Tribolium castaneum: one gene and its partners. The protein of the gene in region 2 binds, or shares a complex with, the protein of the main gene of each other region. Links are inferred from orthologs where the notes say so. Each region holds a gene or a part of one and is shown on either strand. Other genes may lie near its edges.

What was found.
Region 1: Rrp4 (region 2) and exosome complex component MTR3 share a complex: the UniProt entries of both Homo sapiens proteins name them as parts of the RNA exosome core complex. The link is inferred for Tribolium castaneum from reciprocal best matches to the Homo sapiens genes EXOSC2 and EXOSC6.
Region 3: Rrp4 (region 2) and Rrp45 share a complex: the UniProt entries of both Homo sapiens proteins name them as parts of the RNA exosome core complex. The link is inferred for Tribolium castaneum from reciprocal best matches to the Homo sapiens genes EXOSC2 and EXOSC9.

The regions. Positions count from the first base shown.
Region 1 is NC_087396.1:13,655,398-13,659,940, reverse strand, and holds exosome complex component MTR3, read left to right. Parts: upstream 1-2,358; 5' UTR 2,359-2,498; coding exon 2,499-2,661; intron 2,662-2,715; coding exon 2,716-3,401; 3' UTR 3,402-3,426; downstream 3,427-4,543. Other genes in the region: DNA excision repair protein ERCC-6, read right to left, coding at 1-46, 100-156; X-ray repair cross-complementing protein 6, read right to left, coding at 519-2,057. UniProt on the Homo sapiens protein: Non-catalytic component of the RNA exosome complex which has 3'->5' exoribonuclease activity and participates in a multitude of cellular RNA processing and degradation events.
Region 2 is NC_087397.1:169,331-173,907, forward strand, and holds Rrp4 (exosome complex component RRP4), read right to left. Parts: upstream 2,766-4,577; 5' UTR 2,685-2,765; coding exon 2,560-2,684; intron 2,509-2,559; coding exon 2,271-2,508; intron 2,210-2,270; coding exon 2,075-2,209; intron 2,021-2,074; coding exon 1,841-2,020; intron 1,788-1,840; coding exon 1,575-1,787; 3' UTR 1,551-1,574; downstream 1-1,550. Other genes in the region: uncharacterized protein tyn, read left to right, coding at 1-61, 111-244, 291-430, 478-704, 754-943, 995-1,146; Impbeta11 (importin-11), read left to right, coding at 3,216-3,353, 3,401-3,501, 3,554-4,074, 4,128-4,577. UniProt on the Homo sapiens protein: Non-catalytic component of the RNA exosome complex which has 3'->5' exoribonuclease activity and participates in a multitude of cellular RNA processing and degradation events.
Region 3 is NC_087402.1:3,055,839-3,060,881, forward strand, and holds Rrp45 (uncharacterized protein Rrp45), read right to left. Parts: upstream 2,898-5,043; 5' UTR 2,751-2,897; coding exon 2,676-2,750; intron 2,628-2,675; coding exon 2,533-2,627; intron 2,491-2,532; coding exon 2,047-2,490; intron 1,832-2,046; coding exon 1,610-1,831; intron 1,567-1,609; coding exon 1,307-1,566; intron 1,262-1,306; coding exon 1,188-1,261; 3' UTR 1,118-1,187; downstream 1-1,117. Other genes in the region: histone deacetylase complex subunit SAP30 homolog, read left to right, coding at 505-675, 724-939, 987-1,115; RpL21 (large ribosomal subunit protein eL21), read left to right, coding at 3,173-3,652; Usp12-46 (ubiquitin carboxyl-terminal hydrolase 46), read right to left, coding at 4,326-4,433, 4,490-4,633, 4,845-5,043. UniProt on the Homo sapiens protein: Non-catalytic component of the RNA exosome complex which has 3'->5' exoribonuclease activity and participates in a multitude of cellular RNA processing and degradation events.

The sequences.
Region 1 (4,543 bases), on a different chromosome or scaffold from region 2:
AAACGTTAATCCCTTGGGCCAACGTAAGCTCAGCTAACTCTTCGTCCTTCAAAAATAATAAGAAAATGTGTGTGAATTTAAGTGAATTCTTGCCCTCACCTGCTGAATATCGACATTATTTTTTGAGCAACTCGCAATTCCGCAGTCTTGATCCATCTCTTCTCACTAGCACAAAAAGGGTTACTTTTATATTACAAAAGGCTTATTCAACTATTTTTGGAGGATTTAACTTGTTTATTTTCTTTTTTAAACATTCACTCTAACCTCTCGTTTTTTCTTCAAATGTCAAACACCTAGTGATAAACAAACAATTCCCCAAAAAAATCAAATTAGGGAAAAACAATTCAATTTACTACCTTTTGTGTGATTTTATGTTATTTATTTTAAAGAATTTTCAAATACAACTTTAAAATTCAATACAGCAGTGTTATATTTTATGTAATTAATGTTTAGAGCAATTCCTAAACTTAGGTAGCAAAAAAGTTCTTTTTGGAACTTTAGCAAATACTACAATAAAATTAAGTCTTTGTCTTCTTTGACCCCCTTCCAGAGGCAGGGGCCTTCCTCTTTGGCGCAGTCTGTTCTTCCAAACCAAACAACATTTTGAAACTTGCTCCCAAGTCACCCAACCTCTTATCAATCGCAGCACTGTCTAGCGAAACATCTTCAACATCTTCCTGAGGTTCTTCAAGCAGCTTGGACCTCAAATAAGCCTTTTTCTTGGTGAGGGAAGGATTGGTAAACATTTTGGGGTCATAGTCGAACGTTAGATTATCAATTAGTTCATTGGTTGTTTGGAGCATTTTCTTGGAAAAACTTTCGTTTGGCTCCTCAGAGGCGAGAGCACTTGGGATGGGTTGGTGATCATCATTGAATGGAATTGTTTTAGCGACAAAAACCCTGCTATTGTTCATAAACTTCGGGATAAATTCCACGAAACAAATTTTATCAAGCTTTTTCAATTTTCGGAAACAGACAAGAACTTTGTTCTTTTCCACACAATACTGCCAAAAACTAGCAAAGAGGTCCAGCTCTTCCTTAGGATCCACCTCGATGATTACCGGGTTTGTCAAAACAATGCCCACATCCGTGACCCTGTCAGACACCTGAACTAGGGTGTAACCAATTGGTAGGTCTGTGTTTCTAATTTTGAAGCGTTCACTAACACTGAACTCGAGTGAGCCTAACTCATAGTCAAGCTTGTAGGTTTCAATGGAGTCATTTACTGTTTTTGAAACCTTTTTCAAAAGTTTTCCACTTTCGGAAACGGAAGCGTTGTTGTAAAGTCGTTCCTCTTGGACAAACGACTTCTGCCTGATTTTAAGAAACCGTGTTTGGTCATTCGCAAAAGGGAAAAACAGCAACCTCCTTTGATAAAATCTCCTGACAACTGAGGAAGAAAGTTTCTCAAATAAACCATCTTCATCTTCCACAACTGTCTCAACGGGAGGGCTCTTAATGATTGAAAATAACTCATTGTAGAAAATTTTATAATCGAAGTTGGGCTTCATGGTCACCAACTCGAAAGTGATATCATTAGACTCGAAATTTTTTGCTTCGTTAAGTGCAGCAAATCTTTGGTTCTTGTCACCACGAACGGGGTTATCGTCGTTGGTTATGAAAATGATCGTTCTTTTGTAGAACACCGAATTGACTTCCTTGAACTTTTTTTTGCAAAAGAGGAAAAATGAACTCAAATTTAAGCCGCTTTTTCTTTCATACATATCCAACAATTTTTCCTGCGACAATTCATTCTTTTCTTTAAGCAATTTTATTGATTGTAAGATGTTATCGTTGAAATTGACAAGCGACGCTGAAGCATCTTCACGTGCCAATACCACACCAAAAGGGCTCCAGCTTCGCTTATTTTGGACAAATATTAGCGAATTTGCCAGATTATAACAGGCAGAAATGCAATCCTTAAACGGGGTATTGCCATCGCTTTCGTTTTTAACAAACATCGAAGGGTCGGTATCGATTGCAATGAGGACGAAAGATGGTTTGTAAAACGTGTTAGAACTTGCAGATTCGTCTCCTACGTCTTCGTTATCTGACATCTGAAAAGAATAAGTTCATAAAACATCTTTATTTATAAACGTATTATCAATAGGTAGTAACATTTCTCACCTTGATTAATTAATTAACAGTAAACAATCAAAAAGAACAACAGCAACAAGTTTACACAAAGTTGCGCCAAATTTGACGTTTTGTTGACAATCCCCTTGAAAGCGAACCACCAGAAAACATAAATCCAAAAATGCGAATAAATAAGTCTAACATTTACTCTAACTATATGTTGCTGTACAACGGCACAAATTAATACGCGCCTAACGTAGTTTTTATGAAAAAGAATTAAATTAATTGTGTTTTCTATTATTCGACTTTGTGAGACTTGTAAACCTTGAACTTGGAATGGTTGACAATTAGCTATATAACCTTACTTTTTTCTAACATAACCTTGAACTGAGAGATTTAAAATATAATTTGCAAAATACACTATGCCCGTGGATCACAAAAGAATCAACGGTCCGGAAATTTCAATTCCGTACCAACTATTCGACAAATTAAATACAAAATCGTTGAAAACCCAATTCAGTGAAATAGTGCAGCCGAATGGGACACGAGCCGATGGCAGGACATCAACCGAACATCGAAAAATATGTAATTTGTCTTTAGGCCCTTGCGTGTTCCTTGATCTAATTTTTAATTTTCTAGTCTTGAAAACTGGGGTTGTTAGCCAGGCCAAAGGCTCAGCGTACATTGAATTAGACCAAACCAAAGTAATCGTGTCTGTATTCGACCCCCGCGAGATACCCAACAAAACTGACTACAGTTCCAAGGGCGAAATCTACTGCGAGTTTAAATTTGCACCCTTCAGCTGCCACAAACGTAGGTTGCACCAGCAAGACGCTGAGGAACAACAGTTCAGTGCTATTATGAAACAAGCGTTGGAATCGGCAGTATTCAGGCACGAGTTTCCGAATTTTCAAGTCGATATTTACGCAATGGTGCTGCACAATGATGGGGCTGCTCTAAGTGCGGCTATCACGGCAGCTGGGGTCGCCTTAGCACATGCTGGGATTCCAATGTATGATTTAATAACGTCAGTGACTTTAGCTGTGCAAGGGAATCATCTTTTGGTCGATCCAACTTTAGAAGAAGAACGTTTATGTCAAGTTCCTCTGTTTAAAGAAGAGGAAAACAATCACGGGATTGTTGTGCTGTCGGTTTTAGCGACACATGAGCAAATTTCACAATTTTATCAGAGTGGATATTTGTCGTACGCTTGCTTGAGTTCAGGCATTGAGATGCTTACTAATGCTGCTAAGGACATCGTTACTTTAGTTAAGAAATGTCTTGTGAAACATGTTATTAAGAGTGTAAGAATTGTTGAAGATTAAAGAAATAAATTATATTTTATTTAAATATTTTTTTCACTGTCAAGTAAGGCACTAAAGTTGAATTTTTATTACAAATATGGAGTTAAAAAAACAAAAAAAAATTCGCGAAGTATGAGAACTTTGGGATGTTATGCAACCAATAATACAGACTTTAGTAATTCAGTCTTTTTTAAACACTTTCAACACGATATAATTTATACTGAGAAGTACTTCTTGACATACACTTCAAAGTAGTATTGGAAGAATTTAAGATTTTGCTCAAACAATAAACGAATAAAAAATAATACCTTTTTAATTTTTTTCTTGGTCTCCGTGGTGGTCAAATTCAGAAATTAAACCGTTGAAAGTATAGAAATATGATGTCCTAGACTTTTTGAAAAAAAATTACTTCTTTACAATTTTTTGTATCTTCAACCATATTCGCAGCATTCGCAAAAATATAAAATGGAACGTAAATTGAGCGTTAATTCTTTGCGCACTGTCCCATATTTATCAAAATGCTGGGAATACGGTTGAAGATGCAAAACAGTGTATGGGACAAAGTTGTAGAAAATTAAATTTTCTTTAAAAAAATCTGGACACCATATTTTTATCTTCTACAGTTTAGGTATAAATTAACTTTGCATTACTTGACCACCGGTCAATTCAAACGAATCCTTCGCTTCAGCGTCTTTTAACTTTGGAGTCTAAACCATTAACGTTAAACATATTGTCTCCAGACTTTTTTAGAGGAAATTAAATTTTCTACAAATTCTACAAACATTTTTCTTGTATCTTTAACCGTACTCGCACCGTCTTGAAAAATACGAGATGAAACGCAATTTTAAATTTTAAAAAATTTTTTCTTATGTTTCTTATATAAACTTTAGCCGTCAGTTTTTCACAGTCTGTTAAGAGAGTAGACTAAAACATTTCTGAATTTTTTTCCAAGTAATTAGAGAAGTGGTTGAATTTTAATTAATTTAAAACGTTTTGGCGCCGAGACCGTTTTACGCTTGAAGAGCCCTAATTTTTACTCTACGGTATTATTTTTTGGGTTTAGAAACTCCTGCGATTTTGTATTTCGTTATAGTTGTAGTCCCCCGTAGTTGCGAGGCCTAGCAATTAAATTTTCGTAATGATAAACGTAAAAGGTGTTGTTA
Region 2 (4,577 bases):
CAGTGATCTCTTCAGATTGGATTTAACGATGACGGGACAAGATTGTAACACGCAGTCGGTGGTATGTTACTTCACCTAACAATAAAAGTGTGTAAAAGCCGCTGTTTCAGACCGGTGTGTATAGCAATACTGTTGTTTTGCAACACCACAGTGTTGTTATGACCAAAGCTGATAAAATCTACAAAGTCAAGTGCACGTACGATATGTCGTCGAAAAATATCACCTTCGGAATGATGCCAATCAGGTGAGAAATAAAATATGTAAAACAACTCGATCCAATTTTTTTGCAGAGATCCTGAAATGATTAGCATCACCTCAGCTCCTGAAGCGCCACCTCCAAGAATCCGCATCTTGGATAGTCGGTCTCGTGAGGTGGAAACAGTGCGAATTGGAGACAAACTCACTTTCAGGATTGAAATTCCCGAAGACAGTATGTAATTTATTTTAACCATTAAAATATTGTTATTGTTATTTTAGCACCGTATGGTATTTTTGCGCGAAGTTGTGTCGCAATGGCTAAAGATTCTAAAAGTACGTTCCAAATTATTGATGACGAAGGATGTCCGGTTGATCCCAGCATCTTTCCTGCCTTCACTCCCGACGGAAATGCTCTCCAATCAGTGTATGAAGCTTTCCGTTTCACGGAATCATACGGCGTGATTTTTCAATGCAATGTCAAGTATTGTCTGGGACCGTGCGAAGCTGTGAGTAATTAATTTTTTATGTTTATTTGTGGTGATTTTCTTGTGTTAGGCTGTGTGCGAATGGGGACGGGATTCGATCGAATCTTGGGGTAGGAGAAAGAGATCTGTGAGTAATACAACCGATGAAGAAAAGGAAGAAGACATGACTTTGAGTCAAGAGATCCTAGTTCTTGATTTTGGAGATGAGAAACAATCGCAGTTTCTCAAAAGCAGCGAATCGAGTGCTGATTTCGGTAAAGGTATTAGTGTTGGATTTCGGACGAGTTTTTATTCAATTGATTTGTTTCTAGATAAAACAGTAACGATCATTGAACCGTGCCCCACCAAGACTTCAGTGTTAGCCTTGGGTGTGACTTGTGCCTTATTAGTTCTACTTTACATCAGTACGCTGTTCTGTTACTACATGAAGAAGTGGTTAAATCCCGGGAAACACATCGCTTGAAGATTTAGAGACACTTTGGTGCTTTAATCAAGTTTGATCTTTCGGTTGAGTTGACGAGCAGCATTGTTAGTTCTGTGATATCGTTAACTCGAGATGAGATATCAAATAGGGAATTCCCCGACTCTACATTATGCAATATGTATTTTTTAAGGATTTTTTTTCGGGAAGGTGGCGGCCTTGGTGATGGAAGCTTTATTTTACCGTTGCAAAAGTTATACTTTCTTGATCTCTTATTAAAACTAATTTGCACTGACTCTCGTTCCTAGAGCAAATTTTGTAACGGTAAACAGTCTAATTCGTGTACTTATTTATTTTATTTATTTACTTTTTTGTATATATCTCGACTAGGCTAACATTATTTATATCGATTATTTTATACACGTTCTCAAGTCGAATAATAGACATTTTTTATAAGAAAAAACTATTTATTATGAATTTTCCAACATGCTTAACCTATCCTGAGTCAAAATTGCTACATCGACCATAGCTTCAGGAATCAATAATTCAGCCACTGAATATTTCTGTGATTCTTCAAAAGCATACAAAATGCTAGTATCGTACAGCATCATTTTACTTTGAATAAGCGCCAAAATACAGTTTCGAAGACGTCCAATTGTTTCTCTTTCTGGCCTTGAAACGACCTAAAAACACCACAGTAGCAAAAAAAAACAACAAAACTATTGTGAGACACAACTTGTTCCAAATTTTGCACAAAGCCACCAGCGTTATCCTCAGCATTTGAAACAGTTGGATAAATCCAAATAAACCCATTATTGCCCAAAATAATACTAGCCCCAACATAGAAATTGTGAAAATGTGTTTTGCTCCTTTTAATGAGCGAGGGAAAGACTTTAACTAAAATACCTTGAGAAAGCTACAATCAAAAATGAACGTATAATCAAAACGTAACGAAAAACACGAGACAAACTTTTCCATATTTCAAACTTCTAGTATGTAAAGATAAAGAACCATCTGAATAAACGCTCTGTACTTCGGCACTTATAAGATCGCCCTCTTGAAGATATTGTCTCATCATATGCTCGTCTTCTGCTGATCTACGCCGCTGAAATTTAATATTGCCAACTTACTTGCAAAATTAACGACCAAAAAAATCTTTTATGTACCAGTTCCCCTCCTGGTAAATTAACGGAAGACAACAACAAGACCGAATCCAGACGCGAATTCGTATCAACTTTCCAGCGTTTTTGTTGGACTTCTGTGACTCGTCCAACCACCACATCACCCACTTCACCATTATATCGACTTTTTAACGGACGAATCGAAATCAAATTATTTACTTGTTCCTTAACTCCAGCAACTGATGATTTTAAAAAACCCTCTTCTTCGTACGTACCATGCCCTCTATTTAGAAAAATCGCAAAATTTCAAAAAAAAACACGAGACAAACCTAACCTCATAAATTCATTTTGCTCCGTAATCACTTGTCCCGGAGTAAATATCTTTGGAACTCGACGGTTAACAGCAATTGAGGGGTTGATGCGATGAGCGGCAAGGCGTATGTGAATTTTTTGCGGCATGTTCTTGCAAAACACTCGAACCGCATTTGAGATTAGAAACAACAATTACTGGGTTAGGCAAGCAACAATACGCAAGTACGCAATCTATATAAAATTGTGACTTCTCTGTTATCAATCTGAATTATTATTGAAACTTGTTTTTAATTTTCTATTTTGTCGGTTTTATGTGTAATTTAATTATTAAAAGGAAATTTTTGTTTTTTGGTATTTTTAATGACTGTTGTGGTAGTCGTGCATGTCATTTGAAACATGTCATATGTGTTTTGACAATTGATAATTTTATTTAAGAAAAAATAATTGTATAATACCGGTCAGGTGAGGCAAAATTTTCTTTTCCACATTGAAATGAAAAAATTTTAAATTTGTTATTACCATAATGTAAGGCGTATTAGGAAATCAAAATTAAATTATTCTAACCTCACTTTTGCGATTTGTCTTACACACAAGTTAAAATTTATTGAAAATAATTCGTATATTGTTGTGTATTATAATAAATTGTGGTTCTCAAGGGGGAAATGATTATAATTCACAATGAATACGGGATCAACACAAGACATCGTAATTGAAGTTCTGCAAAGAGCCTCGAGTCAAAATCCAGAAGTGTTAAAACCGGCTGAAGCCAAATTACGGGAATGGGAAACTCAACCTGGATTTTACACAGTTTTATTTGTACGTATTGGGCAAAAAACACAATTAAATAATACACCATTCTTCAGAATGTTTTATCTAACCACTCGCTTGATATAAACGTACGGTGGATTGCAGTTTTGTATATAAAAAATGGTATTGAACGATATTGGAGAAAAAACGCACCAAAGTAAGTCACGCAAGTTGTAATGTACCTAACTAAAGTTAATGTCCATTTCTAGCGCTATTTTAGAGGCAGAAAAACAAAACATTAAACACGGTTTAATTTTAAGTTTTAACGAACCCGTTAGTCAGATTGCGGTACAAAGAGCGGTTTTAATTTCGAAAATTGCACGAATTGATTGTCCGAAAGAGTGGCCCGAATTATTTCCGACTTTACTACAAGTAATTGAAAGTCCTGATTCTCTAGTCCAACATCGAGGATTTTTAACTCTTCATCATGTAGTTAAAGCCATTGCTTCGAAACGGTTAACAGGCGATCGCCGTTTTTTCCAAGAGTTTTCCAGTAATATTTATTCGTTTGTGTTGAATTTATGGAATAATTTCACCGAACAATTTATGAATGATGTAATGAAAGGCGCAGCTTCGCAACTAGTTCTTACAAATTTGGAAAAAGCACTATTGACTTTGAGGATTTTACGCAAATTGACTGTTTTTGGTTTTTATAAACCGCATCAAAACCAGGATTGTATGAAGTTTTTGAAAGTGATTTTTGATCGCGCTAAAATGGCACTGCAATGCAGTGAGTAGTTTGTGTGGTTATAATTTTTTTTTCGTCACATTTGAACATTACAGGGAAACATTTGAGGGATAAAGAACTGGTGGAACAATGCGAAAAATTCATTACACACTTAACGAAAGTTTTAATATCCGTCTTGGACGTACATCCATTTTCATTCATTGATTTCATTCAACCTTCGTTCGAATTTACTACTTATTTTCTTTTCACTCCTGATGGAATTAATTTCTTGTTTGAACGCTTCATTATTCAGTGTTTTAATTTAATTAAAAATATTCTCTTGTGTGTGGAATATAAACCGCCGAAAATTCTCGAAATGTGTAAACAGGAGGAAACACTTAAAGCGCACGAGATCAAAATTAATTTTTTTCAAGCCAATACTTTAACCGAAATTTGCCGAAAATTGGTCTCGCATTATTTTATTTTGACACAAGAAGAGTTGGAAATGTGGGATGCTGATCCAGAAACGTTTGCGATTGATGAAAGTGGTGATAGTTGGAAGTATA
Region 3 (5,043 bases), on a different chromosome or scaffold from region 2:
ATACGATAATTCGTACTTCAAAACACTTATCTTATATAATTATTTTGTCCTATCGTTTTTATTCTTAATTTTCTCACATACCCACATTTTTTTCCAAAATTTTTAAGTGCATTTGGAACTGAATAGGGACACACGGACGTATTTTAGGAATAATAAAAAACGAGTTTAAAAAATTACGCTTTATGGTCGGCAACCAATTTTACGCCGGTGACTGTACGTTGCCTGGCTAAGCCAAACGTTGTATAAGTGATGATTACCTAATGCAGATGTCGCTTTTTCCCAAACAAACAAAACGCCTTAAAACCCCCTCTCAGCCCCCTCGAGGCCCCAACTCCAGTCAAATAGTGGTTTTGTGTAACCATATGATCATTTCGGTTTAATTTGGCTTTTTATTTATTGTGTCGGTGCGGTTAAAACGTCGAGTATCGTGTAAGAGATGTGCAGAACAGTCGTCCCAACTGGCATCAGCACCCAAATTATATAAATACGTACCCACTTCGAATAATGAACGGATTTAGTACGGGCGAGGAAGATTCAAGAGGACCCACTGATCAAATCTGCTGTTTGATAGACAATAGTGAACGTTGTAACAAAATCGCCGGTAATGCTTCATACAGCAAGCGCATCCAGAAGACAGTGACGCAAAGGAGGTTAAATTTGTGTATTGATAATTCAGTAAGTCGAACGCAAAGTTCAATCGGAAAATTATTGTTGTTTTGCCAGGCGAAGCATATTTACATCTGCGACTTTCACAAGATGATCATCCAGTGTGCAAGGACCAAGAGGAGGAGGAAGGATTCGGAGGATGACAGCAATGAGACGGACACTGACGTGCCAGAAGTCGACCTGTTTCAGCTAGGAGTCAACACTTTGAGGAGGTACAAAAGGCACTACAAAGTTTCCGCAAGACCTGGACTGAACAAGGCACAACTGGCAGATGTGAGTCGGTTAAAATCCACGTTTTGTATTAATTATTACATTCACAGACTCTAATGAAACACTTTAAGTCGATCCAAGTCAAGGAGAAGGAAGTTGTCACATTTTTTATTTATACAGTCAAAACAAACAGCAATAAGCTTGACCAAAAGAACGGTGTGAACAATGACGCCACTTGAAGTTAGGTCCTTAGAAGTTTTATTAAATTATTACACTTTAAGAAAAAAATGCATTTAATAAAAAACCACAAGTTATTTTTTATTTTTGACAGGCCCTAGTATCACCACATCGTCTTCCTCACTGTCTGTTAGGAGTTCGATTTGAACTGAAAAAAAAACATGATTTTAGTTTCAATTAAGTTAAGTAATACCTTTAGGTTTTTCGACTATTATTAAGTCATCGTCACTGTTATTATCAACGTCCCAGACTTCTTTCTTGTTTTCGGTCTGAGGCACATGTTCCACTGACCCTTTGTCAATAACGACCGTATTCTGGGATTGTGGCTGTGCTTTTTTATGTTTTTTATTTCTTTTCTTTTTATTCGTATGCCATGTATCAAGGCTCTGGCCAAAGACTAGAGTTGTTTTGAAATTATCTTCAGTATGAAAGCCTACCGAAGCCTTCTCTTGCCTGAAATTTAATTTATAACTCGGCAACATGTTGTTGGTTTTACCTTTGTTCAGTATCGGCCTTAACTGATTTTTTTATTTCTTCTATCACAACAGTAGCTCGAGATGTGGCTTTAGAAACTGTACTCAGGATAATACTTGGTGCAAGTTCAGCTTTTCCCCCTAAATGTAGGGCACACAGTTCTTTAAAGCCGTTGAGGCCTATTGTTAGCATTGCATCTGCGGAACCTTCCTCAAGTAGTGACGGGTCCGCAAGAATATACTCCCTAAGAGAAAAAAACTGCAAGTCCTTTTAATAAAATGCTCATTTTTTACGGATAAACGCTGCGAATACACGCAAAAAAATGTTGTAGAGAATTAAATTTCCTACAAGCAAGTCCGCAAATTGAAAATTCTAAGTGATAATTCGTGCAGCTAAAGTATTTTTTGTGGATAACATGATAATACAAGCTTTCAATTAAATTTTCAAAAGGTGTTTTACCCTCCATTAAAAATAGCGTATGTTATGCAGACTGGATAGTGGTGTATAACCGTAGGAATGGGGTCCCTTTGTTGGTAACTGTGAATGATGAATTCTTCGCCATCACAAGTGACATCGGGGCGCCTAAAATGAGTCAAAGAAGCCAACATGGCGATCGAGGCGCAGTCCAGAATATTCCCCTCATGGTTTAAAACATTAATATCCACCTTCAAAGCCCATACTTTTTCGTTGGTTTTAATGCACAATGATTCCAAATCAACAGCTTTAGAATCTTTAACACATTTTTCCAAAAGTCGGTTCAACTGCACTGACAATTCCGACTGTCTGCCCGCTTCGAAATGAGGGGCTGCCAGTGGGTTCAACTCGATATTTATGTTTAGAATTCCTTCACTAGGTCGTGAAGACTTGGGTTGTTGGATTTCGCATGATGTTTGAGCTAAAACTCTATTCCTTTACTGAAGTCAGTGTTTCATAAGTGAAGGTTACTTTGTGTTGCCGAGAGAAACGTAACAGGAACCCCACTGTTTGCCAAATTTCAGCTCTAGTGGCCTGAACTCGTCAAAACTTCGACCATCTAACCTCTAAATGGAAGATGGAATTAAATTGTAAATTAAATGTGCCGCTTTTACCCTCCACTCCGACAAGCATTTCATCAAAAACTTTCGTTCACAGTTTGTAATAAGTGTTTCCCGTACTTTCGACATTTTTATTTTCAAATTTCAAAATATTTTTTGTAACAAAGAAGTGTGGTTAGAAAAAATACATCGGCAATACAGGAATCTATATTTTAAACAATACACTTGGTGGCTTTTTACACATTTTTGCACAACAAATGGACCGGTGTTTACCACAAAATGCCTGTTATATTATCAATTTGATAATACAAACCAAATTTAATAAATAATTTACGATTTATAAAATAGGATAGAGGTCGCTAGAAAAAGACTCAAGCGGAAATTGCGTCCGCCATTTTCTTCCTCTTTAAAACGTGTTCTGTAAGGCAGGTAGGTTAAGCACAAAAATCATGTTTATTTCATAATTTTGATAAAATTGAACTACAAATAAACGTTACAGTGTTGAGATATTGGTCTTATAATAACTTGTGCCCTTTTTGCAGGTCTGAAAAATGACGAACTCGAAAGGTTATCGTAGGGGAACCCGGGACCTGTTCTCTCGGAAGTTCCGCAAGCATGGGGTTATCCCCCTGTCGACGTACATGAAAGTGTACAAAGTCGGCGATATCGTGGATATTAAGGGCAATGGAGCCGTTCAGAAGGGCATGCCCTACAAGGTGTACCATGGGAAAACTGGCCGTGTGTTCAATGTGACGGCTCACGCTTTGGGTGTGATTGTTAACAAGCGTGTTGGGGGCCGTATTATCCCCAAACGTATCAATATCCGTATTGAGCACGTGAATCACTCCAAGTGCAGGCAAGACTTCTTGACCAGAGTGAAACAAAACGAAAAATTGCGAAAAGAAGCTAAGGAGAAGAACATTCGAGTGAATTTGAAGAGACAGCCAGCACAGCCAAGGCCTGCACACATCGTCAGTGGGAAAGTACCAGCCGTTCAATTGGCTCCTATCCCATATGAATTTATTGCTTAATTTGTACGCCTTTTGTGTAATAAAGACATAAAACAAATTTGGGTGTTTGAAATGAAACGAGTCAGTGCATTTTTTCAAATATATTTATATCTAACGAATATTTACAGAATAAAAATAAAATCTGCTTAGCAGCATTTATACAGTATGTTCTAGTTTCTCATATAATATTTAAAAGTTGTATAGTATTTGTTAACAAAATAAGAAGAGTGAATTTTACTTTTTTACCGTGTAGGGGACATAATACTCGCTAAATTAGATGCACGGTTTGGTTACCACCTAAGAATTATTGCTAATTGGAATAAATATAAGGTTTGTAAAAAACAAATTAAGTAAACAAGTAAAATTCACCATACAGTCAATTATTCCTATGCTGTTCCACCACAATAAAGTAAATCTTGTTTTCAACATATCGCTATTTATTGCAACAGAACAACAAAATCAACGTCGATTCGTTTCGAAAAGTACGGGTAAATCGCTTTGAAAGAAAAATTTTAGGAAAAAAGTACGGCCGGAAACTACAATATGCAATAAATAAAATATAAATCCAACAATTTTCAGTTTCAAATCATATTTACAGACTTTTTTCATAAACATTACCCGTCCCAATGCAATGAGAGGTGACTTTGTACTTGTATTAAATCCTCTCAATGATTAAGGCAAGGAGCAGCAGAGTTCATAAACTCTCTCGAGACTGGTAAAAAAGGATGTAGCCTGTTTCTGAAGACTTTTGAGTATCAGACGTGAGGCCGTAGAAATCTTCTATTGTTGAAGCGTCTATTTTCTATTCAAAAGCACAATAATAACCATCGGGAATTCTCAAATACGCACTAAACTTACGTCAACTTGGTCGTCGTCAAACAGCAGCCAGAAACCGTGGCTCTTGACTATACTGATGTAGTGGCCTCTGTTAGGTCCGCTTCCGCAATGTATCACAACAGCTACTAAATCGTATAATCGGTCGGGATTAACTGCATCGTCCGACTGAAAACACAATTAAACTGTAGCTCAAACTCAAATTATTAAAATCTCGGACATTTATCTTTAACCGTATTCGCAGTGTTTTGAAAAACACGGAACGAAGCGCAAATTTTGAATAATTTTTCTCTCATGTTTCTTATGAAAATTTTAGTCTATTAAGAGTGCAAAAGCTCAAGTAATTAGTTAACTGGTGGTATTTAAACAAATTGCTTACTGTGTTGAAAAGTCTCAGTTCCAAAGGAAACACAACTCTGTGTGAGACCTTAATGTGCCTGTTGTACTGTTCCATGTACTTGAACCTCTTGAGATGCAATGCAAGAATCATCGGCAGTTTCTTCACCCTCATTCGTTTTTGAGCTTCCTGGTAACTACTGCAGTTATCACACTTAAATTTATTATCGCTACACAGAGTC